4 linked regions of the Schizosaccharomyces pombe genome follow. The protein of the gene in region 1 binds, or shares a complex with, the protein of each later gene. Each region holds a gene or a part of one and is shown on either strand. Other genes may lie near its edges.

What was found.
Region 2: pam17 (region 1) and tim16 share a complex: the UniProt entries of both Schizosaccharomyces pombe proteins name them as parts of the PAM complex.
Region 3: pam17 (region 1) and tim44 share a complex: the UniProt entries of both Schizosaccharomyces pombe proteins name them as parts of the PAM complex.
Region 4: pam17 (region 1) and mge1 share a complex: the UniProt entries of both Schizosaccharomyces pombe proteins name them as parts of the PAM complex.

Annotation. Positions count from the first base shown.
Region 1 is NC_003424.3:1,553,087-1,558,451, reverse strand, and holds pam17 (putative TIM23 translocase complex-associated motor subunit Pam17), read left to right. Parts: upstream 1-3,631; 5' UTR 3,632-3,660; coding exon 3,661-4,071; intron 4,072-4,159; coding exon 4,160-4,238; intron 4,239-4,285; coding exon 4,286-4,317; intron 4,318-4,379; coding exon 4,380-4,451; 3' UTR 4,452-4,865; downstream 4,866-5,365. Other genes in the region: geranylgeranyltransferase type 2 beta subunit Ptb1, read left to right, coding at 131-184, 232-382, 438-554, 609-824, 863-996, 1,042-1,305; U4/U5/U6 small nuclear ribonucleoprotein complex subunit Snu66, read right to left, coding at 1,369-3,318; protein Dbs2, read left to right, coding at 5,239-5,365. UniProt on the Schizosaccharomyces pombe protein: Component of the PAM complex, a complex required for the translocation of transit peptide-containing proteins from the inner membrane into the mitochondrial matrix in an ATP-dependent manner.
Region 2 is NC_003423.3:882,568-890,263, reverse strand, and holds tim16 (TIM23 translocase complex subunit Tim16), read right to left. Parts: upstream 3,772-7,696; 5' UTR 3,649-3,771; coding exon 3,600-3,648; exon of another isoform or gene 3,535-3,599; coding exon 3,197-3,534; 3' UTR 2,617-3,196; downstream 1-2,616. Other genes in the region: SPOM_SPBC713.14C (uncharacterized protein), read left to right, coding at 1-148; plasma membrane proteolipid Pmp3, read left to right, coding at 1,722-1,751, 2,122-2,265; SPOM_SPBC713.09 (uncharacterized protein), read right to left, coding at 4,077-5,222, 5,264-5,305; MIM complex subunit Mim1, read right to left, coding at 7,589-7,696. UniProt on the Schizosaccharomyces pombe protein: Essential component of the PAM complex, a complex required for the translocation of transit peptide-containing proteins from the inner membrane into the mitochondrial matrix in an ATP-dependent manner.
Region 3 is NC_003423.3:2,202,151-2,210,560, forward strand, and holds tim44 (TIM23 translocase complex subunit Tim44), read left to right. Parts: upstream 1-3,312; 5' UTR 3,313-3,403; coding exon 3,404-4,687; 3' UTR 4,688-5,223; downstream 5,224-8,410. Other genes in the region: eno101 (enolase), read left to right, coding at 1-406; securin cut2, read right to left, coding at 1,166-2,056; methionine aminopeptidase Fma2, read left to right, coding at 5,582-6,862; acetolactate synthase regulatory subunit Ilv6, read left to right, coding at 7,986-8,012, 8,075-8,212. UniProt on the Schizosaccharomyces pombe protein: Essential component of the PAM complex, a complex required for the translocation of transit peptide-containing proteins from the inner membrane into the mitochondrial matrix in an ATP-dependent manner.
Region 4 is NC_003423.3:4,018,662-4,026,691, forward strand, and holds mge1 (GrpE domain-containing chaperone mge1), read left to right. Parts: upstream 1-3,855; 5' UTR 3,856-3,885; coding exon 3,886-4,557; 3' UTR 4,558-5,111; downstream 5,112-8,030. Other genes in the region: nucleoporin, WD repeat Nup120, read right to left, coding at 1-106; Fe-sulfur protein Isa2, read left to right, coding at 1,648-2,093, 2,163-2,334; vma7 (V-type ATPase V1 subunit F), read right to left, coding at 2,541-2,767, 2,826-2,961; SPOM_SPBC215.01 (GTPase-activating protein), read left to right, coding at 5,911-8,030. UniProt on the Schizosaccharomyces pombe protein: Essential component of the PAM complex, a complex required for the translocation of transit peptide-containing proteins from the inner membrane into the mitochondrial matrix in an ATP-dependent manner.

The sequences.
Region 1 (5,365 bases):
TATATCTAAAGCTGTTATTTAATTTCAAAAAGAGGAAGGATCGTGAACTGTCAGATCTTACTGATCATTACACTCAGTTTTCAACCATTGCATAACGAACCGTCTACCTGTTCATACAATTGCTCAAAACATGGCAGTTTTACTGAGAGATAAGCACATAAGTTACTTACACGATATTGGAAATGTAAGCGAAAAGAAAATAGTTTAATAATTCAATTTTCTTACAAACAGCGAACTGATGAGCTGGATTTCTGGTTGAAGGAGCATTTACACGTCAGCGCAATATATTGGAGTTGCATGAGCTTCTGGCTATTGAAGAAGAAAGATCAAATTGACAAAGAACGTATTGTATCGTTTCTGTTGTCTTGTTTGACAGAAAGCGGTTAGTTATATTACTGATACTGAAATATTGATACGGGCTGCTAACAATGAGTTAGGCGGATTTGCTTGTTATCCAGGACACGATGATCACATTACGAATACAGTATACGCTGTACAAGTTTTAGCAATGTTGGACTCTTTGCATGTCGTTGACAAAGATAAAGTTGCTTCTTGTAAGTTTCTTTGTATTTGTACATGCGATCCTTAACTAATTTATAAATAATTAGACATTATTGGCCTACAGAACGAAGATGGTTCTATGAAAGGAGACCGCTGGGGAGAGATAGACGCTAGATTTCTATATTCTGGAATAAATTGTCTGGCAATACTAGGTAAATTGGACTATCTTAATAAAAATACTGCCGTGGATTGGTTAATGAAATGCTATAATTTTGATGGTGGGTTTGGACTCTGTCCTGGAGCTGAGTCACATGGAGCGATGGGTATGTTTAATTTCAAAACCCAATTATTGACCTAATAGTTTTTACCTGTGTTGCCGCTCTCAAAATTCTCAACAAGTTAGATTTAATTGATGAAGAATTATTGGGTTGGTGGATTAGTGAACGGCAAGTTAAAGGAGGTGGATTAAATGGTCGCCCTGAAAAGTTACCTGATGTACGAAGATTGCTCTTTGTCTAGCATGTTTACTAATAGTTCTAGTCCTGTTACGGTTGGTGGGATCTCTCACCGTTAGCAATTATTGGAAAATTAGATTGGATAGACCGTAATCAGCTTATTGATTTTCTTCTAGGTACACAAGATGCAGACAGCGGAGGGTTTGCAGACCGAAAAGAGGATGCCACAGACGTTTATCACACATGTTTTTCTCTTGCAGGATTATCACTATTACAGTTTCCAAACATAGAACCCGTTGACCCTCGTTTTTGTCTGCCTTTAGAAGTCACTCAAAAAATGAAATTATAAATGATGCATTATTACTACCACATAACCATAAATTAAAAAAATAAAAACATAAAATATGTACTTTCAGAAAATTGGCTTGCGTTCTTCTCGTTCCTTTTCAACGATACGACGCAAACGCTTTTCTGTTTTAGCTTTACCTGAACCTTTTCCATGAAATTGATGAGACAACAAATATTTGTATGCTTCTTTGGGACCAAGTTCCACACCAAACTCGTCAACATACTTTATGTCCACCTGAGGTTTATAATCATGAAATTGTTCAAGCTCTATCTCCGCAATTTTTTTATCCCATCTTTCATTTTCTTTTTTTGCATACTGTTCACGTTCCTTCTGAGTCATTTTTTCAAATTTCCCGCTGAGACGATCTTGTTCTTTTTTCTTTCTACGTTGCTCCTCCAGTTCAACTCTGGCTTGCTGTTTTCTGGCAAACCATTTATTGTACTCTTCTTCTTTTTGTATTTTCTCTTTCGCTTCATCCGACACTTTAATTACGCCTTTATTCCGGAGAAGGCTTAGAACTGCACCAACATTGTCAGAGACAAGTGGCTCATCTTCTGCATTCTCCTGCTGCGTATTGGCTTCTTCGAGAGTTGCAGAAATATCAACCGAGGTGTCTTCCACTAAAGCATTACTTTCTTCAGTTGGAGAACTTCCAGTAATACTATTGGTATCGTTCAAATCTTTGGAATCTTCAAATGCTTGTTCATTTATGGAACCAAGAGCTTCTCGATTTTCAGTTTCCTTTATGCTATTAACAAAAGCACGCGTATCATCAAATATTAAACCGGAAGCCGTGTCCGAGTCCGTCATATCTGTGACTTCTTCGGCATTCTGCAATTGCTCAGCTACATCTTCTGGCTTAAGTATTTTCGCTCTTTTTTGAGCTAGCCTCCTCTGCATTGCAATTGACTGTTGCAAATCATCATCATCAGCAAACGACTGTGTTTCTAATTCGCGCATACGCTTTTGAATCTTCATTTTCTTTTGTTCTTTGAAAATAGCCGAATCTTGCTCAACTGACAGATCACTGTTACTCTGACCATTCGGTAGCACGAAATCAGATGGGTCATTTTCATTTTCATTTTCTGCATCAAGTTCTACTAGACGCTTTCTCCGATCAGACTTTGACTTTTTCTTTTTTGACTTCTTAATCTTTATTTGTCGATAATCTGATTGTTCGCTGCCAGTGATAGTTGGTTCAACGAAAGAGACAAGAGTCCCAAAAGTTTTTTTATTATCAGATTTATGTTTTTCTATAGTAGAATTAACAGTGAGACTATTTTGTGGACCAATGGTCGTAAAAGTATCTTCAGACGGTTGATCTGCTTCCGACTGTTGAAGAAAATCATTCTCATCTTCATACGGTTTGTAGGGGTTATCTTCCTTCCTTTCGTTTTTAGTCTTCCGCTGGACCATTTCAACATTTTCTAATAGATCATGATTATCTTCGTCTAATATATCAGCATCTTTCAATGTAAGGACTAGACCATCGTTCTTGTTTAAATCTTGAAAACCGTGTGCTATTTTCATTCCTTCTAATGAGCTATTCACATTGGGACCAGCATTTTGCGAATGTAGAGTGGATCTTCTGGGGGCGTCATTCTTCGCTTCAAAATTCAATCCATTGCCATTTTTATTCAATGAGGAATTACGCATTTTGAGTATCCACGCTCGAGTATCGTTAGCATCGATTTGATCATCCTCTTCTGCCAATGTTTCAGCGAGTGTTTTTCCTTGCGTTCTGCGTCTTCGTTCATTCTTTTGCCGTAATTTTTCAAATTTGCTTTTCAGTTCTTCTTCTTTCTTCCTATTTATTTCCTCCTGCTCTTGTTTCTTCCAATTTTCATAGGCCTGTTGTTCTTGATCGACATACGAAGACTTGACTGAAGCATCTGAAAGTTCTTTCTGAGGTTTTTCTTCTGAAATATCTAAGGGTTTGAGGCCTAGCGAAATTCTAATTCTATTGGTCTCCTCAATAGAAATCGATTCAGAGGCGCCTGAATTCCCAGACATTATACTAAATCCAACAGCAAGTGACAGACTTTCAAATGCTGATAAATAAATAATAATATGGATTTTTAATAAAAAAATACACTAAACTTGCAACTGACTCAAGGATATGAATAAAATAGGAGAATGGCGAAATACACGAACCGTAATATTGTTTCAAATAATTTACTTAAACTCTCATTTATATCTCACTAAGCTATTTTAGCGTACTTTCAAAAAAAGTTGCGTTTCCTAGTATGCGTCCGCGCTTGCTAAGGAATAATAAACAAAATACGTTAAAAAGAGAAGAGCAATTGAGGCGATACGTATATGAAGTATACATTTTCCAACAAGCAAGGATTCGTTATGATACCTATTATACGGCCTGGTCTAGTTGTAAAAAGATTACAAAGTCCCAAAATATTTTTAACTTTATGGAAAACTTGTTATAATGTAAAAACTTATTCCACTGAGTCTATAAAACAGAAGAAACCTCAAGATTTAAATTGGCCCACATTCCTGAAATTAAGAAAAAGCAGAAGGATTTTTGAAACCTTAACTTCTATTCCTACTGCACTTACCGGACTAGGATTAGGATCCGCCTATTTTCTTACGCGTACTGTTGACCCTACCATGACTATTATGGGTCTTGATCTATTTACTCTATATGTTATTGGAACTATTGCATCCGGAGGGCTTGGATGGCTTTTGGGCCCTAGTATAGGTAGAAAAATATGGACACTGCTTCATAAAAGTCAAGCGAGACAAATTGCAGCGGTACGTTCATTCCCTTAGATAATAGGGGTTATGTTAGCATCTACGGACTATGTTTTCTGAAAGTATTCTAATATATTTAATTTTTTAGAGAGAACAAGAATTTTACCGTCACTTGGTTAAAAACAGGGTTACACCTCAAATGGAAAGCTATTCTAATCCTATCCCAGGTATGCTGTGAAGGCTGCGTCATGATTGATGTCTAACTCTTAATTAGATTATTACGGTGAGAAAATTTACTCCCTTTCTGTATGTGATATGTGTTATCTACTCATTTACTTTGTACACTGATTACTAACTTTTATGCAAAGGACTATCGACGTTGGTTGAGGGATCAGAAGGCTTACATACAACGGGCATTTTGGCGTACAAGCAATCGTTAAATTAGAAGTGTTGAAGTGATAGCTTGTCATATAGAATTGTGGATGAGGTTCTTTTCTTAACACGATAACTAAAAGGATACAGAAGCATTGCCGTATCAGTATTTGTGAAAAGAAGTTCATCTATTGAAATCTGTATAGTCTCAACTTATAGTACAGACTTTTCTCAAGCAAGTGTTTTTGTCCATGTGTAGAGAAATTCTAGTAATGATTATCTTAATTATAATTTACCGTGCATACAATTTCTTACATAATTTGTTGTACATGTCACTCCTGCTATTGAATTTTATCTTTTGCAACAAGCTTTTGCCGTCTGTTCTATGATTGTTGTACAACTGACATGGTAAAACCATTAGAAGCAGATATTAGAAGATTATAAATATATAACATTTTTGTTTGTAATGCATGACATGCCAGTACACAATTTTAATAACAATTAAAAAATGCATTGGTTCAATTTATAAATTACAAGACTGAAACTGATCAAATAAAAAGAATATAGCTAAACCTTTGAAAACATAATTAATAGTTTACAGTATCAGTTTTAACTTGATTACTCCTCCAAAATTCAAGAACCTTTATGTGTAAACATTAATATAGTTTTGATGTAATAAATTAGCGAAGGAGATCAAATGTTGTTTCGCTGCGCGCTATTTGTAGGATTCGTAGGTTGAAAACGAGGCAACCTTGTATCTACCACCTAACGGAAGTAAACAAACTAGTGAGGGCAATTCATACATTTGAGTTAGTTAAAGCGAACTAACTTGAATTATTTATTATTTGTTAAAGGATGACTTCGGCTCTTTACTCTGGTGGTGGAAAATCTGCAGGATCATTGGAATCGGCACTTGATGAAGAACGTCTCGAAGTTTTACGATGGATGAAAGAAAGAGAAGAAAAAAAGCACCGTCAGCTAG
Region 2 (7,696 bases), on another chromosome or scaffold:
CAACTTTGACTGGTCTACCTACGTTTCTCTGCATTACCCACTAACCCTGCCAAACCACCTAGCACTTATGTCATCTTACACACATCAGTCTCACTGTGGTACCAGTGTTTTTCATCAAGCACAGACACTGGTACATTTACATACATAGCAATGCATCATTTCATACATCCACACATATTCCAAGGGGCTAGTGAGTTGTGTGGCGTTTTAGCATGCAGAAAGTAAAATAGTAGAAAAAGAATTGAAATGAAAATAAGAAAAAAAGATTTAAATAAATAATATCAAATCAGAAAAATGAAATTAAATCCAATCCGACAGAATAAAAAAAAAAAAAAAAAAAAAGAAAAGAAATTCAAAATGCAGTGCAATGCAATACCAAACAATATTTGTAAGAATGCTTCCAAAGTAACGTGCAGTGGCTGGTTCTCCGACTTTGCTGACTGGGCTTCTTTGCGTCGCATCCTTTCGTTTCATTGTCTAGCCTATACTTTGCTTGAAACAAGGTCCGTTCATGCCAGCTCTGCATCGCTTTTTCTTGATTTATTTTCAAAGTGTCCACTTATAAAAATGGAATACGTCCATTTTGTATTGATAACGGCATGTTGATATATTTCTATCGCAAATAATAAATCTACTACGCCCGTCTTTTTCCGCATGCAACATCCATATGTACTCTGTGCTCCACCCGTACTTACGAATTATAGCTGCAGAATGTAGATTTGTTTAACAACGACAAAGTAATATACATAGCTAAAAAAATATAAATATTTCGATATAAATTAAAATGAAAATAAAAACAGAAAAAAAAAGTGTTTTGGTATAAAAATTTTCTTATACACTTTTCAAAATCATTTCCTTCTTTTTTCAAAATCATTTCCTTCTTATTTCGAAATCATTTCCTTCTTTTTGGTTTGAAATAAATTCATTGTTGTTATATGTTAGAGATATAGAAAATTAAATATAATTTAATATAATTAATAATAAAATGATTCTGTTATTTTCCGACCTTTTTTTTTCTTTTTTTCTCTCTCTCTCTCTCTCTCTCTCTCTTTCTATCTTCTTTACTTTAACTATATCTAACCAACTGTTTTAAAAATAATACAACCATTTTATTACTATCCTTGCAAAAATATTTTACGCCTTTCAATCAATAATAATACCTTTTATGAATACCCAGCTAATTCGGTTTGCCTTCATTTTCGACAAGACACTTTTTACCCATACAAAGTTTCGTGTAAACGATGGGCTTAATTCATATTCGTGTAGATTTGCAAACTACTTCATATACTACGTATATGCCTGTACAAACTTGCTCGTTTAAACCAAGTATGCAAGTAAAACCATCAAATAAATTAGAGACAAAGGTAAAGTACCAACAAATGAATCAAACAACCCTTTGGACAACCAAAATGTTTTTTCGGTAAATAATCATTTTACAAGTTGTGTACTTTGTTGCCTTCTCCTGTTTGTATGGTCAAAAGGAGAAATTTCTTTACCTAGTGTCTATCGAGCTTAGAAAATGTTAGCATCATTGCATTCGACAGGATTACGTCACTTATCGCTGGGCCTCTGGCATTTTTTCGTATAAATATACAGCATCACTGGCAACATTTTAAAAATTCCATAACACAACAGAAATCCATACATTTCACACAAAGTTTCGGTATAACCAAAAGTTTTCTTTTTTTATTCCATTTTTTTTTATTCTTTATTAATTAAAAATGGCTTTGACTGGCAGTGATATTTTCAAGGTATGTTTTTCCAGCTCATATATGGAGAAGGTGCAGGATCCTACTGAACTTGGCTTTCATTTTTGATTTGAGTTGATTCGATTTAACTTCTCTTGTTGTTTTGTTTCAACATCTCATGACTTTTTGACTCTGAGCGACTCGTTAATGTTTGAAATGACATGCTTTTAATTGTCGCCTGTCCTGTGTTTATGCTTGCGCTTGTTTTGAATCGCTCACATCGCATTGTTGTTACTAAATCAAATTGATTTCGCCAAGTGTCTTGGTTTCTACTTTCTCTTTTATAGCTACATTTTACTACGAAATTTTTTTTTTTGGTATTATAAAAAAAAAATTTCGCTTCTTTTTGACTCAATGCTAATATATGACACAGGTAATTTTCGCCATTATTCTCCCTCCCTTGGGCGTTTTCTTGGAACGTGGCTGTGGTGCTGACGTTATTATCAACATTCTTCTTTGTTGTCTTGGTTACGTTCCCGGTATTATTCACGCTCTCTATATCATCTTAAAATACTAAGCATCCCTCTATTTCAATCCTCTAATATTTGTTCTTTTCGCTACTTATCATGTTTATAAAGGAAAGTGAAATAGACATGTGTATTCTTTGCTTCTTCTCTTGTCTGTTCTAGGAATTTATTATTCGCTTCATTTAATACCAAATGTTGTGAGGATATCATGGCTTTTGTATTAGTAAACAAAAAAACGGATTTTCTTTACTAAGAAAAAAGTTCAAAATAGTATCACGGTTGTTTGCACTCATTTTTTTTTCCTTTCCCAAAATCGACTGTGCTTAACCATGATATCTTTTTTTATCCATAATTGGGCGAATGATTTTACCGTATACTTTTTGCTATAGCCCAATAGTCTTCTTGTTTTACATAAAAGAATGTTTTATCATTTGCTCAACTGGAACTTATATTCTTTAAATATATTAGTTTAACGGTTCTTTTTTTTGTGTCTTATTCATTATTTGTAACCAAAATGTATTTCAATAGTAGTGTGTAATGATTGATATCTGGGAATAGATTAGATTATTGATCTCTTCATGGTGCCCGCAGCCCAGTCTAACTTTAAGGATTGGCCAGCGACAGTTAAAAGTCGAAAAGTAAGTTTTGGCTTAACCTCAGGCTCTCGTTTGAAGTCAATCCATATCAATGTACATCTCTCATCACATTGACAATATATGGCTCTGGTTTAACGGCATTGAGGGTATGTGGATAGCTAGACTAGTGTTAATTTTCCTTTTATCATAGTACAGGGCATATTCAAAAAAATATGAGGATATCAACCTCCTCACATTTCTTCAACTATTCGTAAACAAAAATATATCCCATTGCTTCTTTTTTTCTTAAAAAAAAAAAAAAGATAGATTCCATTTTACATTAAATTAAGGTAGACGTGTCGGTAAATACGTAGCAATAGCTAGCAACCCAAAATCAAAGAAAGTTTTAAGGTGAACTGGTTGGTTTCGCTGGGGATTGTTCTTGTATTTTTTGATCCAGTTCACTTTTCAATTTTTCATGAGCTCGGAACACTTTGCTCTGGAGGTAAAAAGATCCTCCTTTTTTAGGATCATTAATCTCAAACATTTTTTGAAATCGTTTTTCTAACTCTCCTTCTTCTAATGATTCTGGCTTAATGTTTAAAATGCTACCAGCTTCTTGAATAGTCATTTCACCTCGACGAACAGCAGTTGATGATTTGGAAGCAGCAGCTTGACCAGTACTTTGTTGAGCTGCATTAGCAATCATTTGCTTATAAGCTTGTACAAAAGCTTTGCTCATTACTAATATTGTTAGGGTTTTTAATCTTTTGAATAAATCCTTGATAGGAGAATGGCCACAAACATACCTTGCGAACCAACAATTATAAATCGACCGACAGCCCTTGGAAGCGACATTTTTTAATGTAATATAGTAATTTTGAACAAATAATTATGATAAATGTCTTCCTTTATTTTATTTTCAGACATACACATGCCCTAAACAGGAATTTTCACAAATTTTCTTGTAAAAAGGGTGGTGGTAAAAATTCCTTATAAGGCAGATTTCATATCAAAGAATCTAATACTACTTCCAAATTACAACCTTGATTTAATAATAAGAAGCATAAAGTTCACTATTTTAGACAAAAAAATATTAATATATTATGAATTTGCTTTATATTCTTTACTTTGTTTTACTACTCGTCACAATTCAAAGATCATGTAAACTGATTGTAAATTCAAATCATCTTATTCATTAGGGCTTCTTATACTCGCTGAAACAGTATGGTAATGGAGCTTAAACATAGTGACTTAATAATAAATATCATATTAAAGCTTTAACTTCATACTGAAAAAGGAATGCCGTGAGCACCGGGAAATCCAGTCAATGTCAAGTCAATTGAAACGTTATCGATTACCTCAAAGTTAGTAGGATCTGGAAAAAGTTTCTCGGTCACGGAGCCAGGCTGTTCAAAATGCATCGCTTCAAGTTCCTTCAGCCTTCTTTGACATTCCGCAAACTCAACCATCGCTAGTTTATAACGTTCAACAGCTTCTTCCAAAAGTTGCTTTTCTAAAGCAATGTCCGAAACCTTTTTTTCCAATGAGTTGATCAACTCCTTTTGTTCATGAGTTTGGTTAGCAGTTTTAGAGCCTTCAGAGCTTTGTTCTTTATTTTGCTTTATCGCGGATTTTTCACGCTCCTCAAACTCCTTGAAACGATTATTGAAATTCTCGTTAGCTTCACTGAGTTTCGTGGCACGTTCATTTAAACTTTTCTCATGTTCTTCAACCTTTAATAGACGATTTTCAAGGTCCTTTTCACGTTTTTTAAGATCATCTTCTTTTCCATTCATCTTCAGTTCTCTTTTATTAATCTCATTCTCTCTGATTAACAGTTTTGACTGGAATTCCTCAAGAGCGGCTTCTCTTTTGGATACGAGTGTCTGCTTTCCTTCACTGTCATCCGCATTAGCTTTTAATGTTTCATAATCATAAGTTAAGTCGTTAATGCGTTCTTTTAATTCTTTGATTTTCTTATCCTTTTGTTCATTAAGATCATGCAGGGTTTTTACTTGTTTTTCTAGTTCATCTTTTTCTTGACTGCTTGTACTTCGAGAAGTGACCTCTGTTTCAACGTTCTTTTTTATTTCACCATCAGGCTTGGCTGCTTTATCCTCACTTTCTATTACCGCTAAATCCTCCTTCTCAGGCTTCTCCGCAACCGACTCATCTACAGAATTTTTAACGACATTTTCAGATGTTTCCGGAGACTGAGTAGAAGCATCGCCGGTGGATGCCTCAGCACCTTCAGCTGAAACTACATTCGAAGCAGAAATATCCTCAGTGTTTTCAACTACTTGAGTATTGTCATTGCCTGTAGGCTCATTTACTTGATTATTGCCATCATTAGATTCGCGGTCAACATTATCTTCGGCAACTGAATTTTTAGATTTAGCTTGGCGTTTTTTCTTCTTGACCTCCAGCAACTAGCACTCGTAAGTTAAATGTTACAAAATATTATGCATACCCTTTGTTTAGCTGCAGCTAGCTTTTCTTCACGATCTGACATCTTCAAATTTGATACAAGATGAAAATAAATCAACAGGGAGTTGTAGTGTGGGCAGAATCAGTAAAGTATAGGTAAGTAGGGAAAGTTTGCGTGAGGCTTAACAAGTCCACGGATAACCAAGCATACTAAATAAAGTAGAAACATAAATATAATATATATTTGATGAATGAAAAACTTAAAAAAATGGATTCATATTTTTTATACGCTAGAGAGTATAGGTATATTTTATTACGCTGATTCGGTTTGAAAATGAAGGAAGATACTCTCCAAAGTTAATGCAAGAGCAGAATCCTTTCATTAGTTTTTAAAGATTACTATGTGTATGATAATATTACTGTTTAAAGAGCAAAAGAAAGTAAATACAACCTTTGTTTTCAAGATCGATTCCGTGAATAATAAAAATCAACGTTGGCAACGCTTACAGTTCTTTACAACTTCAAACGGATTAAATAATCCGGTTTATTAAAAGACTCAACTAGCTTTGACTATGCCTATACTAATGAGTTTTTAATCGATCAATATATTATTGTGACTTAGTTCATCTAGCGACTGCTTTTTTTCATAGTCACTATTGAAGTAACAGTATTTTTTTGCTATATAAAGTGGTATTATGGTCACTTTACATTACCGTACTCGCTCAAGACAGTGCGAATAGGAAGGTTTTTTACCCGCATGGTATTTTGCTATGCATTCGTATTTGCTATTCACTGAGCGTATATAAATGAATGGATCTTTTAAGAGCTTGCTAACAAGATAACCTACTTGTACGCGAGTGTCAGAAGGTCCACATATTTGCTATAGATTAAAATTTATTATTACATTTAAAACAGATTCGTTAACAAAGAACCTTTTGAAATTACTTGAGTTAATGGTTTATTCTTTTCGCGAAATTCTATATCGCTGTAATTTGTGTGATCGTAGACTTCCTATTTGTGTTGGATGCGTACTAAAGTTTGCTTGGAATCCTGTTAATACATGTTTTTAAAAACCACTGAAAGTGTATAGCAATGCTTGTAGAGCGTATATCCAAGATTTAAATAATATGCTATGTAATTCTGTGCGATGGGTAATATAGTTAATTATTTAAATAGCTATAAAATATAGAACGACTACTGTTTAGGTTTGTCCATGCTACATCTTGGAAGAAAATAGAAATATAGTATTCTTGTTGGCTAATGCAATAAATCTTCAAGTTTATATAGCAAATTGTGAAGTCAGTATTCGTAAATTTGACAAAAATTTAATGATAATTTATTTTTTCAGATTTGCTGACTTTAAGTAGTCGGTATCTGCTTTTTATGCATAAACAAGAAGATTCAGTTCGAGGATCAGAATCCTTTTTTGTATCATCAAACTTGAAATTGTCTTATAACATCATTAAAGCCAACCGAGTGTACCAAGCATGCGATAATGTAAGTTTTAAGAATCATTCAAAAGTATATTTTTCAAAGCTTGAGCAACGACAGAAATAACCTGTAAAATTCTAATGAATCAATGGGCTGTGCAATCAATTTATAATCAGTTGAGATTTGTTGCTCTGAGAATAGTAATACTTACACGCCTTTACAAATAAGCGTGTTTTAGTCATTAAGTTAGAGCACTATCGTTGTTCGAATACAATAACAATTATTTAAAAAAGCGATGTGATGAGGAAAACAACAAAAAGCGTAGTACTGTCATTCAAATCAAAGTAATGTAAAAATAATGAACAATTTTAAACAATGATGATAGCTTCGATACTTGTCTCACAGCTCATATAAATCTTCGTTGACACCTTTTTCTATACTATGCTACTCAAATCAATTTGTCGGTCCGAAGAAGCGATGTATAACGTGTCACATAATGTTAATATAAAGGGCATAAATAAAATCAAAAGTAATTATACTTAAAAAACAGAAGAAGGAAGCTCAAGGAAAACGATCATAAATAAATTAAATGCAAAGGAAATTAAATGTTATTTTGCAAATATAAACACAATTCATTTGGGCTTAATTCGTTTTCCATCCCTTGAGCATATATATTCTTTGCATTGTGCCAAAGAAGCTCTTAATATTGTGGGAAAAGAAAATAAAAACAATAAAACTAAAGAAAACGATCATTAAAGAGAGTGCAAAGCTGAAACCATAATACATCTGAGAGAAACATGAGTTAAGCATTCGAGTATCTCAAATTTTATGAATACTCGCCTCAGCTTAAAATGAAAAAATAAAAAAATCACGAATAAGCAAACACCATTTCCCTCAAATATTAAAGATAAATTTCCTCGCACAGCTATGCTTCATTTTAGGCTTGAATATACTGATGTCTTTGAATAGAATAAATCCTAGTATGACCTGGAGCCCAACCAAGAGAGTGGATAAATGCATGAGCAAAGATCTCCCCGAATCCCAA
Region 3 (8,410 bases), on another chromosome or scaffold:
CTGGACTCACATGAAGGCTGAGACCGACTTCCAAATTGTCGGTGACGATTTGACTGTTACCAACGTCAAGCGTCTTCGTACCGCCATCGACAAGAAGTGCGCTAACGCTCTTCTTTTGAAGGTCAACCAAATCGGTTCCGTCACCGAGTCTTTGAACGCCGTCCGCATGTCCTACGAGGCTGGTTGGGGTGTTATGGTTTCTCACCGTTCCGGTGAGACCGCTGACACCTTCATCTCCCACTTGACTGTTGGTATTGGTGCCGGTCAACTTAAGTCTGGTGCTCCTTGCCGTTCCGAGCGTTTGGCCAAGTACAACGAGCTTCTCCGTATCGAGGAGGAACTCGGTTCCGAGGGTGTTTACGCTGGTGCCCATGCTGGCAAGTACATCAAGGCTGCTAAGTTTTAAACTCTGAGCATACATTAAATTTTACTAATGTTTACAATACATGTTTATTTTTATAGAATGCAATGAAATTTTTATCCTTTTTGCGTTTTGGATTAATTTGCCAGGTTGCGTGTTTATTTATTATTAGTATTAAAGTAAACTGTTGTTGTAGTAGAAGTAGCTGATATAATTGTTTTGTGCTAATTTGCATCCTTTTTTTTTTTAGATGATCATTTTAGTTTTCGTTTATATAGTGTTTTTTTTTCAATCATCTTAATTTTTTTTGGAATGTGTGCATCTGCTGTAAAACACAGAAATTTGTCTTTGACCTAGTACATATTTTTATGTGTAGCCAAAATTTTTGGATACCTTTGCTCTTTATCAGTCACTTTACTACTACTAACACTGGAAAATGTTCTATTCCTCAGCATCTTACCTACTAGTATTTATAATATTCATCAACGTAGAATGAAAATAACAATATTATTAACATAATTCATCTACATTACAATAGTAAAATATTGAACCAGAAAAGCCAAAAAAAAAAAAGCATATAGAAAAGGAAATCATTTGTACAGAAAAGTCATGAACGAAAAACATGTCATAAATTAAGGACCGTATAGGCTTTATGCATTTAAGTAAAAAAAAAAAAAAAAAGAACAGCATTAAAGTGGTGAAACAAATTAAACAACAAGGGAAATCAAAGCCATCGGAAGAATCATACTTACAATCGTAGAAGCGGAAGCCAGTACGCACAAAACCTGAAAATTCGGAATCTTTTTATAACAATCCTGTATCCAAAGATGAAAAATCAATTCGTGAAGATGATAACGAATGAATAGAACGAGATAAAGGGCGCCGACGGCTATTGCCAGATGCAGTTACTCGGGGTCGTGTGAGTTTATGAGATAAGGGTCGAGGGATGGATTTACCAGATGCCAGCTTGGTGCGATAAACGGTACTGAGTCGTGTTCTGGAAGAGGATTGTTTGCTGACAGAAGGCTTTTCGAGAACCTTTCTTTGTTGATCAGAAGCTTTCAAGGTAGCGGGTGTTGTCAGGTTAGTATCCTTTTCTGTTAACGGGGAGTCACCGTCTACGCTGAGCAGAGGAAATTGTATAGGATCATCATCACTGAACTCCTTGTAAACATGGAAATCTGATGCAGGTGTATTACGAATAGTTACTGAGGTAGCCTTATTCTGCATGCTAGGCCAAGGATCGAGCGTTTCACAATCAATTGCAACGTCGTCAAACCCCAGGGATTGAATGGGGTCCAAATGAACAGGAGGAGGCATATATTCGATATCTTCTTCAAGTTCATTTGGTAAAGGAGTGTCTGTTAAAGAGGAACGACGAGGGCTAGCCGAAAGTCGCTTCGACCGCTCTTGTACGGCTGATCGGGAAATTCCTTGTGAGTTTGGCTCCAAAATAGTAGGGGAATCCATCGAAATATCCATAGGAGACATTTTCTTTGTACTGGGAGCAGAAATAAATTTGGAAATGTTAGTACTCTTACCTCCCAGTACCGTTCTAGGAACCGTTACAGAAGAAGGTGCATTCGACTGCTTTGTAGACCCCAATGGTGCTCTTTTGGAGCCCGCTCCTTTTGTACCATTTCTGTTTGATATGGGAGTTACAGGAAAAGCGTTTTCTTTTCCATATGAAAACATGGTTCTTGGCAACATCGTTGTCTATAGTCCAAGGCTGGTTTATTATTTCACAGGTGACATTCAATTGTGACCTGCACAATTTAAAATAGTAAACAAAGCGATAATTTGAAGAAATATGATCACCTTTTAAATTTTTACTTTTACAAATGCATAATAAATTGTTTTGTTTTGTTTTTGAATTGCTTAATTGGATTGAAGATGATTTATGATATTCAGGTTGCTTTTATCGTCTAGTGTTCAAGATGGAAAACCAGTTCTTCATGAAACAAATAATTTTACATTCCAACTATACTATGTTGTAATCATTCTGAATCATTATCAGAAAAGTTGGAAGTGTATTACAACTGATCATTTCGTATAAACTTGATGTTGAATGAATCTAAGCTTTTAAAGCTAGATCTGTCTGCCAAAATTGATCAGTTATGACTTTAAGTATCCCATTTCGTTATTGAAGCTGAAAATTTACAACCTGTGATAAATAATATAGGAGCTTCAACAACTGTTTTCATAAAAAATCATGAAACACATTAATCATCAGAAAAATTCGAGGTTTACTACAACTTAAATGCGCCTTTTGAATTCTGTATAAACCAGCTACTTCCTTATTTTCAAATAAATTTCATCAAAGAAACTTAGGGGCACAACAAACGTCGCATGTTATTAGAAAGAATTACATACAAACATTCTATCAAACTGATAAAAAAAAAAAAAAAGATACAAAATTAAGAGATCTTTAAATTTTTCTAGATTTGAAAAATCTCTACAAATGAATAAACGAAACTTCAAAATGCTAATTAATACTATTGCTTTTATCTCCAAAACCCGCTACATACTCAAATTATCCAGTTCTATATAACGCATTGTAATATATCTATGCTGCTTATTGAATACTTTTTTTCATAACTTCATACGATCTCTTACCACCCACATGGTATCGATTCCCAACAATATTGTAAGCAACAGCTACGACTGTTTCAACCAATACGAAAGGAAATTGATCGGTACTCTTATTCTTTAATATATTAGGATCATGCGTAATTTATGCTTCCCTCTATATCAATATTTTAATAGTTGCATTTCAGATAAAATGAGCGAATTCGTAAAAATTCTAATCGTAAACTCCTCTTAGTAAAGTAAAAAAGTCCAAATATAAGAGAATATGCTAACTTTTGTTAACAAAAGACTACTTCTCGATATTTAGGATTAAGGTATCTTTCCACCTTTGTGGCACTTGAACCTTCCATCCACCACTCACTAGGCTGCTATATCGGTTTGCAATAAAAGGCAGCAAAGTGGATTAATTTTCGCGTAATAGCGTTGAGATTTATTTATTCAATAGGAAAGAAAATGTTTCTATCAAGAAAAATCACAAAAAATGCCCGCACAATAGTTCAATGCCAGCGGTTTTTCCAAACGTCTATATTCTCTCAAAATGCAGCACCTCAATCGCCAATCAAGGTGTTCATGGATACATTTAGAGCAGAATTAAAGAAGAGCCAGGAATTACAGGACAGTGTCAAAGCATTGCAAGATAGTTCAGGATCATTAAGTGAAAGCGACACTTTCAAAAAAGCGAGAGATGCTTACGAAAAAGCGCGCTCGGGAACTACTGCAGCTTCATCTTTCACAGGAAAAACTGTTGGCAAAGCTGGTGCCAAGATTGGCTCATATGCCCAAAAAGCTTGGGAAAGTGCTCCTGTACAATTATCAAAAAAGGTCATTTCAAGCACCGCTAATACTGTAGCTACTGGTGTTGACACTGCCACAAAACCCGTACGTGAAACTGCATTTTATAAAACAATTAAGCAAACAATGTCTGATGGTAGCACCTCTTCACGTTATGGATTTTATGCTGACAAGGAACAACGTAAAAAATTGCGTGAAGAATTTGAACGTCGAAACAGAATGTTTGCTAGCTCGGCAAGGATTCAGCCTAACGAAGACGTCCAAAGCGTCGTCGTACATAGCAACCCGTCGTGGAAGAATAAGGTTGAGCAAATAAAAAACGAATCGCGTTTAGTTCGTAAAATTCAAGAGCTTAAAAAAAGTTATCAGGAGTCTGAACATCCTATTGTCTCCTCCATTCGTGACATGGCCGACAGTATTAGTGGCGTTTGGTCTCGAATGTTTTCAGAAACTGAAGCATCGCAGGTTATGCGACGCTTTAAAGAGATTGACCCATCCTTTAATACCGAGCATTTCCTTCAATATTTAAGAGAATATATTGTCCCGGAAGTTACCGAGGCATATGTTAAAGGAGACAAAGAAGTGTTGAAGACTTGGCTTTCGGAAGCCCCCTTTTCCGTATATGAAACTACTACCAAGGAATATGCGAAACATGGAGTTGTTAGTGTTGGTAAAATCCTTGACATTCGTGGCGTCGACATCATGTCTCAAAGACTTTTACAGCCAAATGATATTCCCGTTTTTATCGTCACTTTTCGTACTCAAGAGGTCCATATGTTTAAAGATGCTAGCAGTGGCGAATTAGTTGCAGGAAAGGATGATCGTATTCAACAATGTACTTATGCTTCTGTCTTTACACGTGTAGAAGACGAGCTTGATAATCCGGAGACAAGAGGTTGGCGTATCGTTGATTTCGCACGTGCACGAGCCGTTGATTATTTCTAAATGCGAAAATATTCCAAACATTTGTCTTTCTATCGGCTTCTAATTTTAACATGTAAACATTTTTTTTGGAATCAGATTTTTTCTTCCTGCATAGCATATTTCGTTTGGGTTATATTTCTCTGTCACTCATATGATTAATTACTATTTAATATTTCAAAAGTTTTGTCAAGTTTGGAAATAACTCTTGGATTTCCTGGACTATGTCCACCATCATCTACTTAAGAAGACCGCTGATATTCCCTAATGATCGATCTTCTTTTTTTTTTTGTTTCTTTTTGATGACAAGTCTAAGCTTGTCATTCTTTTTTTTATCACATTTTTCGTTTGTCTACTTTGAAAAGTCTTTAATGTAGTAGAAGATTTTATTAATTTAAAATCTTTTATTTAACTCGGGTTTTGCGGGATGGGTTTAAGAATTGAGGTTTTGCTATCTTTTTCTTAAAGGATACGCGTGTTTAATACTTTTTCAACAATCGTATTTTAGGACGCGTGCATTTTTTAGCTCAATATCATAATCACTTTAACATGTTTTATAATATTTCCAATAGTTTTGGATTAAATAGTGCAAGAAATATTTTAAATTGGGAAAAATTTGGAACATTTATATTAACAAATAGATGTAGAGAATTTGACCTTTCATAAATTAATAAACGGTTGGTTTTAAAATTAAAATGGATACTTGTTGCTTGATATCCGACTCATTATCCCTTTTTAAACCTTTAATTAAGTAAATCTCAATCCTTTTGTTTGTATATTATAATCTCCTAAAATTGAGGCATAGGTTGCCATGACTACTGGTTTTTGGTGGTAGCACTGTTGTAACCTGTGGAGGTACATATACTCAACTTCCTCCTATATCAGATTTGTTTAGACAGGATTTAACAATCTTAAACAATGACTTCTGCGACAACTACTGAAGCTACCGCTAAAGATTTACAGGAGAAGCTTTCGCTGAAAGAGAACGACGTGGTTGAAGATGATGGAAAAGTAGAGGAAAATGATGCCGCTGAAGAAGGAGCCAGCAATGGAGAAAAGAAGAAAAAAAAGAAAAAAAAGTCTTCTAAAAAGAAAAAGACCCCTCAAGAACAAACCAATCCTCCAACTGTCGGATTGTCCAAGATCTTTGTCAATAAGAAATATCCCGTTGGTGAAGTTTGTGATTATGCTGAAGACAATCTGTGGCGTACAACTGACGAAGAGAAGCGCGCTTTGGACCGACAAAATTTTGATCAGTATAATGATTTGCGTCGTGCTGCTGAAGTACATCGCCAAGCTCGTCAGTACGCTCAATCCGTTATTAAGCCCGGCATGTCTATGATGGACGTTGTCAACACGATAGAAAACACTACACGGGCTTTGGTCGAAGAGGATGGATTGAAATCAGGTATTGGTTTCCCCACAGGTGTTAGTTTAAATCATTGTGCCGCCCATTATACTCCCAACGCTGGTGATACCACCATACTTAAGGAAAAAGATGTTATGAAAGTCGATATTGGTGTTCATGTGAACGGCAGGATTGTTGATTCTGCTTTTACCATGTCTTTCGATCCCCAGTACGACAACCTTTTGGCCGCAGTCAAGGCTGCTACTAATAAGGGTATTGAAGAAGCCGGAATTGATGCACGCTTGAACGAGATTGGTGAAGCCATTCAGGAAGTCATGGAAAGTTATGAAGTGGAAATTAACGGAAAAACACATCAAGTAAAGTCTATCCGTAATTTGTGCGGTCACAATTTGGATCCTTATATCATTCATGGTGGTAAGAGTGTTCCCATCGTCAAGGGCGGTGAAGAAATTAAAATGGAGGAAGGTGAGATTTTTGCTATTGAGACTTTTGGTAGTACCGGACGTGGTGTTGTCCACGAAGATATGGAATGCTCTCATTATGCCAAAATTCCTGATGCTGGCCATATCCCTCTTCGTCTTCCCCGTGCCAAGGCTCTGCTTAACACTATTACTCAAAATTTTGGTACCCTTCCTTTCTGTCGTAGATACTTGGACAGAATTGGCGAATCTAAGTATTTGTTGGCTTTAAATAACTTGGTTTCTGCAGGTATCGTTCAAGATTACCCACCTTTATGTGATATTAGAGGAAGTTACACTGCTCAATTCGAGCATACTATCATTCTTCACCCTACACAGAAGGAAGTTGTATCACGTGGTGATGATTATTAAAAAAATTTTTTTTGTGCTGGACAAATGGTAATTAATCAGTAAAACAGCAACCATTTGCTTGCATTAATATTTTAAATCTTTTATTTTTTATTTTTGATGCGTCCTAATTTTAAAAGAGCTCTTATTTTCGTATTTTTTGATGTTTTTATCGCTCCTTTCCTTGTTGTTTGATTGATTGATCAAGGAGTCCTAAATCCCTTTCAAATCATGTACACATTTTCCCCCTTGTTCACTAAGTCTATAGGTAATTATGATAGTTAAGCAAAATTTGTTTTTGTATTGTAATTCCATGGGCATTTCTCGTATTTCCATACTATTGAGCTATTCGATGAACGGAATGGTGAGCCAACATATCAAGCTCTTTAATACATAAAAAAAGTTACAATTTCATTATTATTTAACCAATTGCGAAACATCAGGGGAGTATGTTTATTGTATGATTTTAGTAGTTTCTATATTGCATGCATAATAGTTATTTACAAGCTTCAAACAGAAAAACCTTCATTTTATGGATACTTTGTAATTGTAAAAAGGTATAGCTTGTTTATTTATAACGAACAATAGGAGTATTATTCTGCTAACTCATAGTATTTTGGAGATACTCTCGTAGTTCATGACTATAGAATTACATTTCAGAGGCTAGCTATTTAGTAGTAAAAAAAGGGGTAAATTTTATCTTATTATAATTTTTTAACAGCCATGAGATTTTCTAAAGTCCACTATTGAAAATCGATCCAATTTTCTCTAATCAGTGCAAGATCAGTATACTCCAGATCTCCGACATCTTGAATACTGTGTCGGTTGAATTTTTTTTTTTTTTATGAAACGGAAGGATGAAAGAAAAATAAATAAATCCATGAAAATGCTTAATATTTAAATGCCTGTTTAAAAGTATATCTTTTGGTAAAGACTTGCTTAAAATTGAATGCCTACAGCCTTCAGACTTATGATTTTTTTGTTACACGCACAAAAGAAAATAAAACATGTTTTTATAAAATCAACTAAATTGTAATATAATATGCGCTATCAAACGTATCTAAAGTTGTAAGTTTGAATAACCGAAAAATTTCCCAAAGCGTTGAGTTCACACTACCCTAGTAACAACATTCTGCGCTTAACCACCATGTTCGCAAGAAGATGCGGCCGTTTGGTATGCACTTAAAAAACATAATATGTGCTAAGAAAATAAGCTAACTAAACAAATCATATTAGGCCAATCGCTTTGTTCGATTGAAATCAACCTCTGCCACTTCTCCCATCACATACAAGGCGTTGCATGCGAATTCCCCCTTGCCTCGTTGTAGGATCATTGAGCCTCCTAGGGCTACTGTTCCAGAGGCTGTTTCTAATGTAAGTTATTGAAGAAGTTTTCAATGAATACGTACTGTCAGTATACATGTGAGCGAAGTCAGTTGTAAAATAAGGCGGAAATGGAAGCGGATTATGTGATAATATCATGTTATTAAGGAATTTAAATTTGAATAGGAGATAAAGATTAATATGATTTTTTGTAATTTTTTTGGGCATCTTTGTGGATTTTCTTTGGAG
Region 4 (8,030 bases), on another chromosome or scaffold:
CGTCTTCCGAGTCGTTTTCGAGAGCTGGAACCCACAACGCCAAAGTTCCTTCCAGACAAAAAGATTGTAAGTCTATCGGAACTACCGCATGCTTTAATTCATTCATATTTTGATTTTATTTTTTACTGGTAGCGGTAATACCAGTAGAAATACCAAACAAATAGCTAACAATAGGGGGCAGTTCTGGTTGAGTATCGTAGACAACGACCTACACGAGTTAGCGTAAGACAGGCCAGTCCTACAACGAATTTATGAGAAACGCGTAAATACGAGTATATTTGTAATTCTTTAGCTTTTTAGGGTAGAGGGAGATGGAATGTAAAACTGAATTTTCTTCTTGAAGATTAAGTTCCTTAATAAAATAGAATCATTTGATTGTGGATGAAGAAAGCTAAACAATTTGATAGTTTTTATTAATCGAGCAATTCCTTTGTATTCATAATAATAAAAAAGGAATCAAATATTCATTTAAAACTCAAGAGCTTAAATGGATTCTCTATTTTATTTGTGAAATTACATACAACAGTAAAAGATCTTCAAGATATCAGAAGCCTTTCTTAGATTATTGTTAGTTTTTTTTATTATTTTTTGTATACCTGTAACTTTTTAGCTGTTGTTTTAAGAGATTAAATCTATTTAAATTAACAGTACTCATCTTTAGGGTCTTAATTTACAGCCTTTCAATCTTTTTTAATAAAATAGTTTTCTAATTTTCTAGTTTTGTTTATTTTTAAATTTTGCAAATTCTTAGTAAATAAAACATGTAATATTTTCAACCATACGTTAAATTGTAAATTACATTTTAATAAATATTAATTACGTGCAAGGGTGAATTATTGTTCATTGGCATGCAATTTATAATTTATTTTTTTTATTGCAGATACAACCAATTCTAAGTCTAATAGCCAAGATCTCTTATACCTGATTCAATATTACAATTGCGGTGATATGTGCTTGTACGAACACCCGCAACTTTATAGTAATTAAGCGGTAGTACATACACTGGTATCACGATAAAGAATTAGCTAAAGTAGAAGATTGTAGCAATGGCATCAATTGTGATAAAGACATTTTCTGGATGTGATCCACCGGTCTATGCTAGAATTAAAGGATCGACAATAAATATCCAGAAGAAGAATTAACCAAATGGGTTGAAATTATCTCTAATAGCTAAAAATCTATTCATTTAAAACTGAAAGAGAATTAAAGGAGTAGGAGTACCAAAAGGTAAAAATAATCCAAAGATATTAATTTTGACTATAAATCATCACAAAATTTAGTAGCATACAACATAAGTAAAAAAGAACATTAAATAATTCTAGATATATTTGATAAATTCCCCTTATTCTCTACTAGCTATGGGTGTGAGAGTTTTGTAAGTTCGAATTCAATCTATCCGATATAAATCTCTTAGAGATTGGGTGTTAACTAATAGGTAAATCCCTGAATTTGACTTTAGTCTATGACACACTCGTCAAGTTATGACTATTTCATTTATGTACTTAACTTCTCTATCTCATAAACATAAGCACCAATTTGGAATATACTGAATTAACGAAACAGAGCGTAGGCAATTTGACTTCTATTACGTTACTGTATGTTTACAAGTTAGAAAGTCCTAACTTGTGGCTATAATACTTTGCAGTGATGCTTATGAAATCGCGAGTAAACTTATTGTTTAAAGGACCATTTTTCTTTCGAGAACGTTGTTTTCAAACACTCTTAAATCCTGTGATCGCAATTCGACAGCTATCGCATGGATCGCTTAGAAATTCTCGATCATGTAGAATTGATGCGAAATCGAATACATTAACGAAAGAAATATTTCCCAAAATAAATAATGAATTCAAAATCAAAAATCGATTTTATAGCTCAAAGCTTGCGAACGACCAATTCACGCTTCAAGAGCAATGTGACGAGAAGGGAATCCCTTTTATTTTATACGTGAAAGATTCAGCGAAAAAACAGTTAGAAAAAATTGCAGAAAGGAAACCAGAAGAAAACTCTGTTTTGCGCGTCACTGTCGATGGTGGTGGATGCCATGGATATCAAGTATCTTTTCGCATGGACAACAAAATTGGAAATGCTGACACGTAAGTGATGTGGTTAAGAAGACTATAAGTTTTAATTAAGTATTTCCTGGTTATTGACTAAATATCTAGGGTATTTGTGCGTGGAAAAGCCAGGGTTGTTGCTGACAACATTTCATTACCTTTGATAAGTGGCTCTGAAATTGAGTATACAAATGAACTTATTGGTTCCTCTTTTCAACTTTTAAACAATCCACGTGCCAAGACTTCTTGTGGTTGTAATGTCAGTTTTGATGTTGAATGAGATTTATACTTAAAATAATACATTTCTCTTATAATCACTTTTCTATTTATCAAATATAGTTTAACAAAAACTCTGCTTACAATTTTTTGCTAGTATGCCAGTAAGTAAACCAAAAGATACAAATATAAAAGTGTCATCAGTCAAATCGATCGAGTTGTTGACTAATTGAAATTATTGCTCAAAAAATATAATTAAATATTAATAGTCTATTCTCCAATGATCTTTCTAACACGACGGAGGATACTGTCCTTTTCAGGATCATAAGGATCGTCTTTGCTAGGAATTTCCAATACAGCAGGGAATGCCTGCACATGGTTTTCAATACGATCACGTATTCTTTCAGCGGCAAACTGGTTAATCAATACAATCGCAATATCCTTCCTTTTCGTAGTATAATCATCAAAAGCTTCAGCAATCTGCTCATCTGTAGTCTCTACATAAAACAGCAAGTTAGCGAAAACACGATTCCATTTTTTAACAGATAATCTTACTCTGAGTAATTATAAAAAAGTTTTTGTCACCGTTTTCATTTACCTGACCAGTTCCAGCTAAAAGCATCCCAGTAACGGTATCATCGTCTCCAATTACAGAAACAAGTGTCCGTTCTCGATATGATTGTGAAGACATGATTTAGAGAGATAAGTATTTAGAAAATCTAGGTAAACGTCCAAGCAGGAAAATAGGAGAGTATGGTGCTACTTGAAAGCGCAACTTCTGGACTAGTAGGCGATTAAAAGTGTTCAGTGGTTGAATCGTAAATTTTCACAAAGCTTAGATAAATATTTAACAGAAAGCTATGGCTCTGCCTCTACAATCCTCAAATGTATTCCTGAGTTTAAGTAGTGATGGTGGATGAAAGTGTAAGGTCCAATACCGATAAGACATATCTGACACTTAACTAAGGTACCTTTTATTATGAAGACTTCTGTAATTAAGAATATGATATTATTATAATAGGAATTTGTGAAAATTCGACTCCCATAAATTGTTCAACAAATATCATTATGCAAATAAACTGATGAATGTAAAAATAATAAGATGGCCCAGATGACACAAATAGGATTATTTTAAAACTTAAATTATAATATTCAATTATTTTACTTTCAAAGGCTGCGAAGTAAGTACTTCGATATAATCCAATGCCGTAAAGCATACCAAGAAGGATATAAATATAGATGAGAAATCAGTTAATTATTATCTGTTGAGAATGAAGCTGAAAAGAATAAATTAATAATTGATAAGCATATGAGCCGTTGTTGGCTTCCAGTGTTGAGCAAATTCGAAATTTGGGTTGCTTTCCTACATGCATGTTCAAACCTACAATCAATTTGTTACATATCGAAATAGAAGCTTTAATTTGAGAAAAAAGTGTCATTTATATATTTTTTGAATCAGCTTCCATCTCAAAGTCCATACCTCATTTAACGAAACATAACGAATTTTTAAGTTGATGAAATTGATATTTGTAAAATTTAACAGTGCTAAGTTCACAACACCATTTGTCTATAGTGTGACACAGTTGTCTTTTACCACAAAGCTCTCACTGAAACAATGCTTGGGCTTGGAAGAGTATTTTCATCCGCTGTACGTCCTCGGACGCTTATTCGAGCACCCATTAATAAACGCAGTTTCCTTTGGTACTCAACTGAGGCTGCTAAGGAAGAAAAGCCTGCTGAAGAAAAAGTTGCCGAAACAGAGAATGTTGATGTTAAGGAACTTCAATCTAAGCTTTCTGAGCTTAAAAGTAAATATGAAGCAAAGGACAAAGAGGTTGCGGAGTTAAAGGGTAGCATTCGCCAAAGCTTAGCTGACTATCGTAATTTGGAAAACCGCATGAAGAGAGACATGGAGCAAACACGTGCATTTGCTGTTCAAAAGCTTACTAAGGATCTTTTGGATTCTGTCGATAATTTGGAGCGTGCTCTTTCAATTGTTCCAGAGGAGAAGCGTAACAATCGTGAGTCCAACAAGGATTTAGTTGATCTTTATGAAGGTTTAGCAATGACTGAATCGAACTTAATGAAAACCTTAGGAAAATATGGTTTAGTTCGCTATGACGGTATCGGAGAAGATTTTGATCCTAACATCCATGAAGCTGTTTTCCAAATCCCTGTTGAAGGTAAAAAGCCCAACACTGTCTTCCATTGCGAAAGCAAGGGTTTTCAATTGAATGGAAGAGTTATTCGTCCTGCCAAGGTTGGTGTTGTTAAGGGAGACGACTAGAGGAGCTAGTCAAAGATGATAGCAAGGAGCATACGAATACGTCGTTTCACCTATATTATTTTAATGACCAATTCGGGGTTTTTTTTTATTTTTAAACTCTCAATGTTTGTCTGGAAAGTCCTTTGTGGTATTATTGGATTTTTTCAGTCTTTTCAGGGGAACCAGAAGTCTTTCTGTGCAGATGCTTTTTTCTGCAAACTAATAGTCAAAGACAGATCGTAAAAAGTTTCATTGCATTTTTTGGGCTATGGGTACATTATTATATTTTTACCGAGGGGACTTGAATCCAATGTTTTTGTGTGGTTTGGGTTTATTGTTTAGTGATTTGCTATCACAACATAGTACCTATTTTTACTTACATTTATAAATAAAATTTTTACTCTTTAATACTATAGCTTTCACCCAAACTGGTTAAAGAATTTTGATATTTCCTTCTAAAGATTACTCAAAAGCATTTCTTTAAGAGTTAAAAGTGGAACCAAGTGGAAGGTATGTATTCTATCATTTAGTTTTATAGAATATTAAAGTTCCGAAAGTTGATATGTGCTTTAACGGTTAAGCCTCCTTTTCAAGTATTCGTAGAAGTTAAGCTAGTGTTCTGTATTACAAATTAGTAAGGAATTTTGACTAGTTTAGATGATTTTTTTGTTTTTTATAAAATAGATATGTAATAACAAACTTGCTAATAAAGTATTGATTGGAAGCAGCTAGCCTGTTCGAACTAAGCCATAGTATAAGACATTACTCAATCAGCCTAATCTAATAGATAGATATTCAAAGTTACAAATGATAAGCATGAGATCGTTTGTGGGTGATCCCGTTGCTTTTAACTTTATTAAGAATCTAGTCAATGAATAGTTTTTAATCCAGCACTGATATCGTCAGAATTGCATATTCGAGAGATATATTCATTTTTTCCAGCTCAGTAATTACACTATTACTAAATAAACTCACTTCTTAGCGATACACTACCGCAAGGGTTTACGTCTTTATTTAGATCAAGAAATGGTGCCTTGCATACTACTCGAACGTGGTGTAAAATTTACCCTTACACAATAAGTGTTGCTTGGCAACACGTTTTGCTTTCTTTCCTTCTATAGAGTTTTCAATAACAGGAAAGATAAAAAAAGGGGATCTATCACCCTGAGATCTATCGAGTAATTTAGAATTGGGTCATTTGCTAAATTGCATCTACTTTTGTCTTATCGACACTGAATCTTTTGAAATTCTGATTTAAAATTGAACATTTTTTTATTTTTCTATAACTGTTGATATATTAAGAAATAGTTGCTTCAAGAACCTTCAGGTATTGGCTTTTAAGACTAGCTGTTGAGTTCGAAGAAAAGCCTAGCTATGTCTTCTTTAGCCAGTCTTATAAAGACGAAGCTAAAACTTCCTGATTCCTCAAAAAACTTAAACAAATTACGATGGAAGTTTCGACTTCTTGAATCTCAATTTGCCCTCTACAGTTTGCCCTGTCAACTTCGATTTGTCCACTATAATAACTTGGAAGACCCTAATTCATTTAATGGTCTGCTTTATTTATTTACTGATTATATAGCTTTTCAAGGTGATGATGAGTCTAATCAATTTTGTATGCCATATACTATAATTCGAAAAGTTAGTCGAGTGAAAAGCAATGATCTTGAGCAATTGTTGTCGGTATCGACAAGCAATGGTTACGAATACAGAATATCTCTGCAGGTTTCTGAAACCACTGCTGCACATTTTTGCCAATTACTGAGAGAAGAGCTTGTATCTCACAAAGCTGATATGCAGCGGTCCTCCGAGTTTAGCAAACAGTTCTTTTCTGAACGCCTTTGCAAACCCAATGTTCCCGAACCAGAAACTAAAGATTCTTATGGATTCGGTGCTCGATATGGTTATCCCACCGATCCTCGAATCTCTAGAGAACGGGCAAAGCTACGAATGTGGAAAGAGTATTTTTTACTTTATGGTGCAAATCTTTCGTTAATCAGAGTTTCTCTCTTCTCCAAATTGGTCCGAATTGAATTGCCCAATAAACTTCGTGGTGAAATATGGGAGCTTACATCAGGCTCCATGTACTTTCGTTTAGAGAATTCAGATGAATATGATCATCTTCTTAAAGTGTATTCTGGTCAAACATCTTTTTCTTTAGAGGAAATAGAAAAGGATTTAGGTAGAAGTCTTCCAGAATATCCTGCTTATCAAAATGAAGAAGGTATCAACGCTTTGCGAAATGTTTTAGTAGCCTTTTCTTGGAAAAACCAAGAGGTTGGTTATTGTCAGGCAATGAATATTGTTGCAGCTGCTCTTTTAATTCATTGCACCGAGGAACAAACCTTTTTTCTGATGCATAAGATTTGTGAAGATTACATTCCGGGTTATTACTCAAAGACGATGTACGGCACTCTAATTGATCAACAAGTTTACGAAAGTTTGGTTCAACGCTCAATGCCTAACTTACATGCGCATTTTGTAAGCAAAGACATTCAACTTAGCATCATTTCTTTGCCGTGGTTTTTGTCGCTTTTCCTTTGCACAATGCCTTTACCGTATGCGTTTAGGTTGTTAGACTTTTTCTTTCTAGAGGGTCCAAGGGTTTTGTTTCAAATTGGAATGGCTATCCTATATGACAACGAAGCTGAAATTATGAAGGCTACAGAAGACACTATGTTGATATCAATTTTAAAAAATTATTTTTCATCATTGGGAGATAAGGCTTATAAAGATGCAACAGATAAACGCGTTGCCTCTATCACGAAGTTTCAACTTTTATTGGTAACTGCTTTCAAGAAGTTTAGCCATATAACACACTCTTTAATTGAAGATGAAAGGAAAAAACATTACGAAGGAGTTATGAATTCTATTGAGTCATTTGCAAAGAGAACACAAATTAGGAGTTTACAAAATTACGGTACATTAACACGTACGGATTTAAGTAATATTTACGACCGTTATCATGAAGTATTGTCGTCCAAACATCGAGTTGGATTAGGCAGCTCTACTGATACACGGTTGGAATTTGACGAATTTTGTATATTTTTAGCAGGAGTTACTGAATGGGCGAAAGGTTTGGATGCAGCGGCTATCAATAATTCATCATCCTTTCTTCGTCATTTGTTTTTACGATTTGACAAAAGCATGACTGGATCATTATCTTTACAGGATTTGGTGTCCGGTATTGCAGAATTGAAATTTAGGGATGTAATGCGCAATATATCTTTTATATTCGAGCTTTATGACTTTAATGGAGATGGTTTTATGGATAAACCAGACGTTTTGAAGGTTTCAGAAGCTATTCTTTGGTTAACTAGGTTTATGGGTGATGAGTATCTATCCGCAGTTAGCGAATTCATACAACGCTGCTTTCATTTTGCTGATGAAGCTAGTCCTGATGGTCATTCTGATACGTTGATTGATATAAGCGACCATATGAGCAGTACTGGTTCTGAAAACCGTTCTGTTGGTGCTAATAGTGATATCAAAGT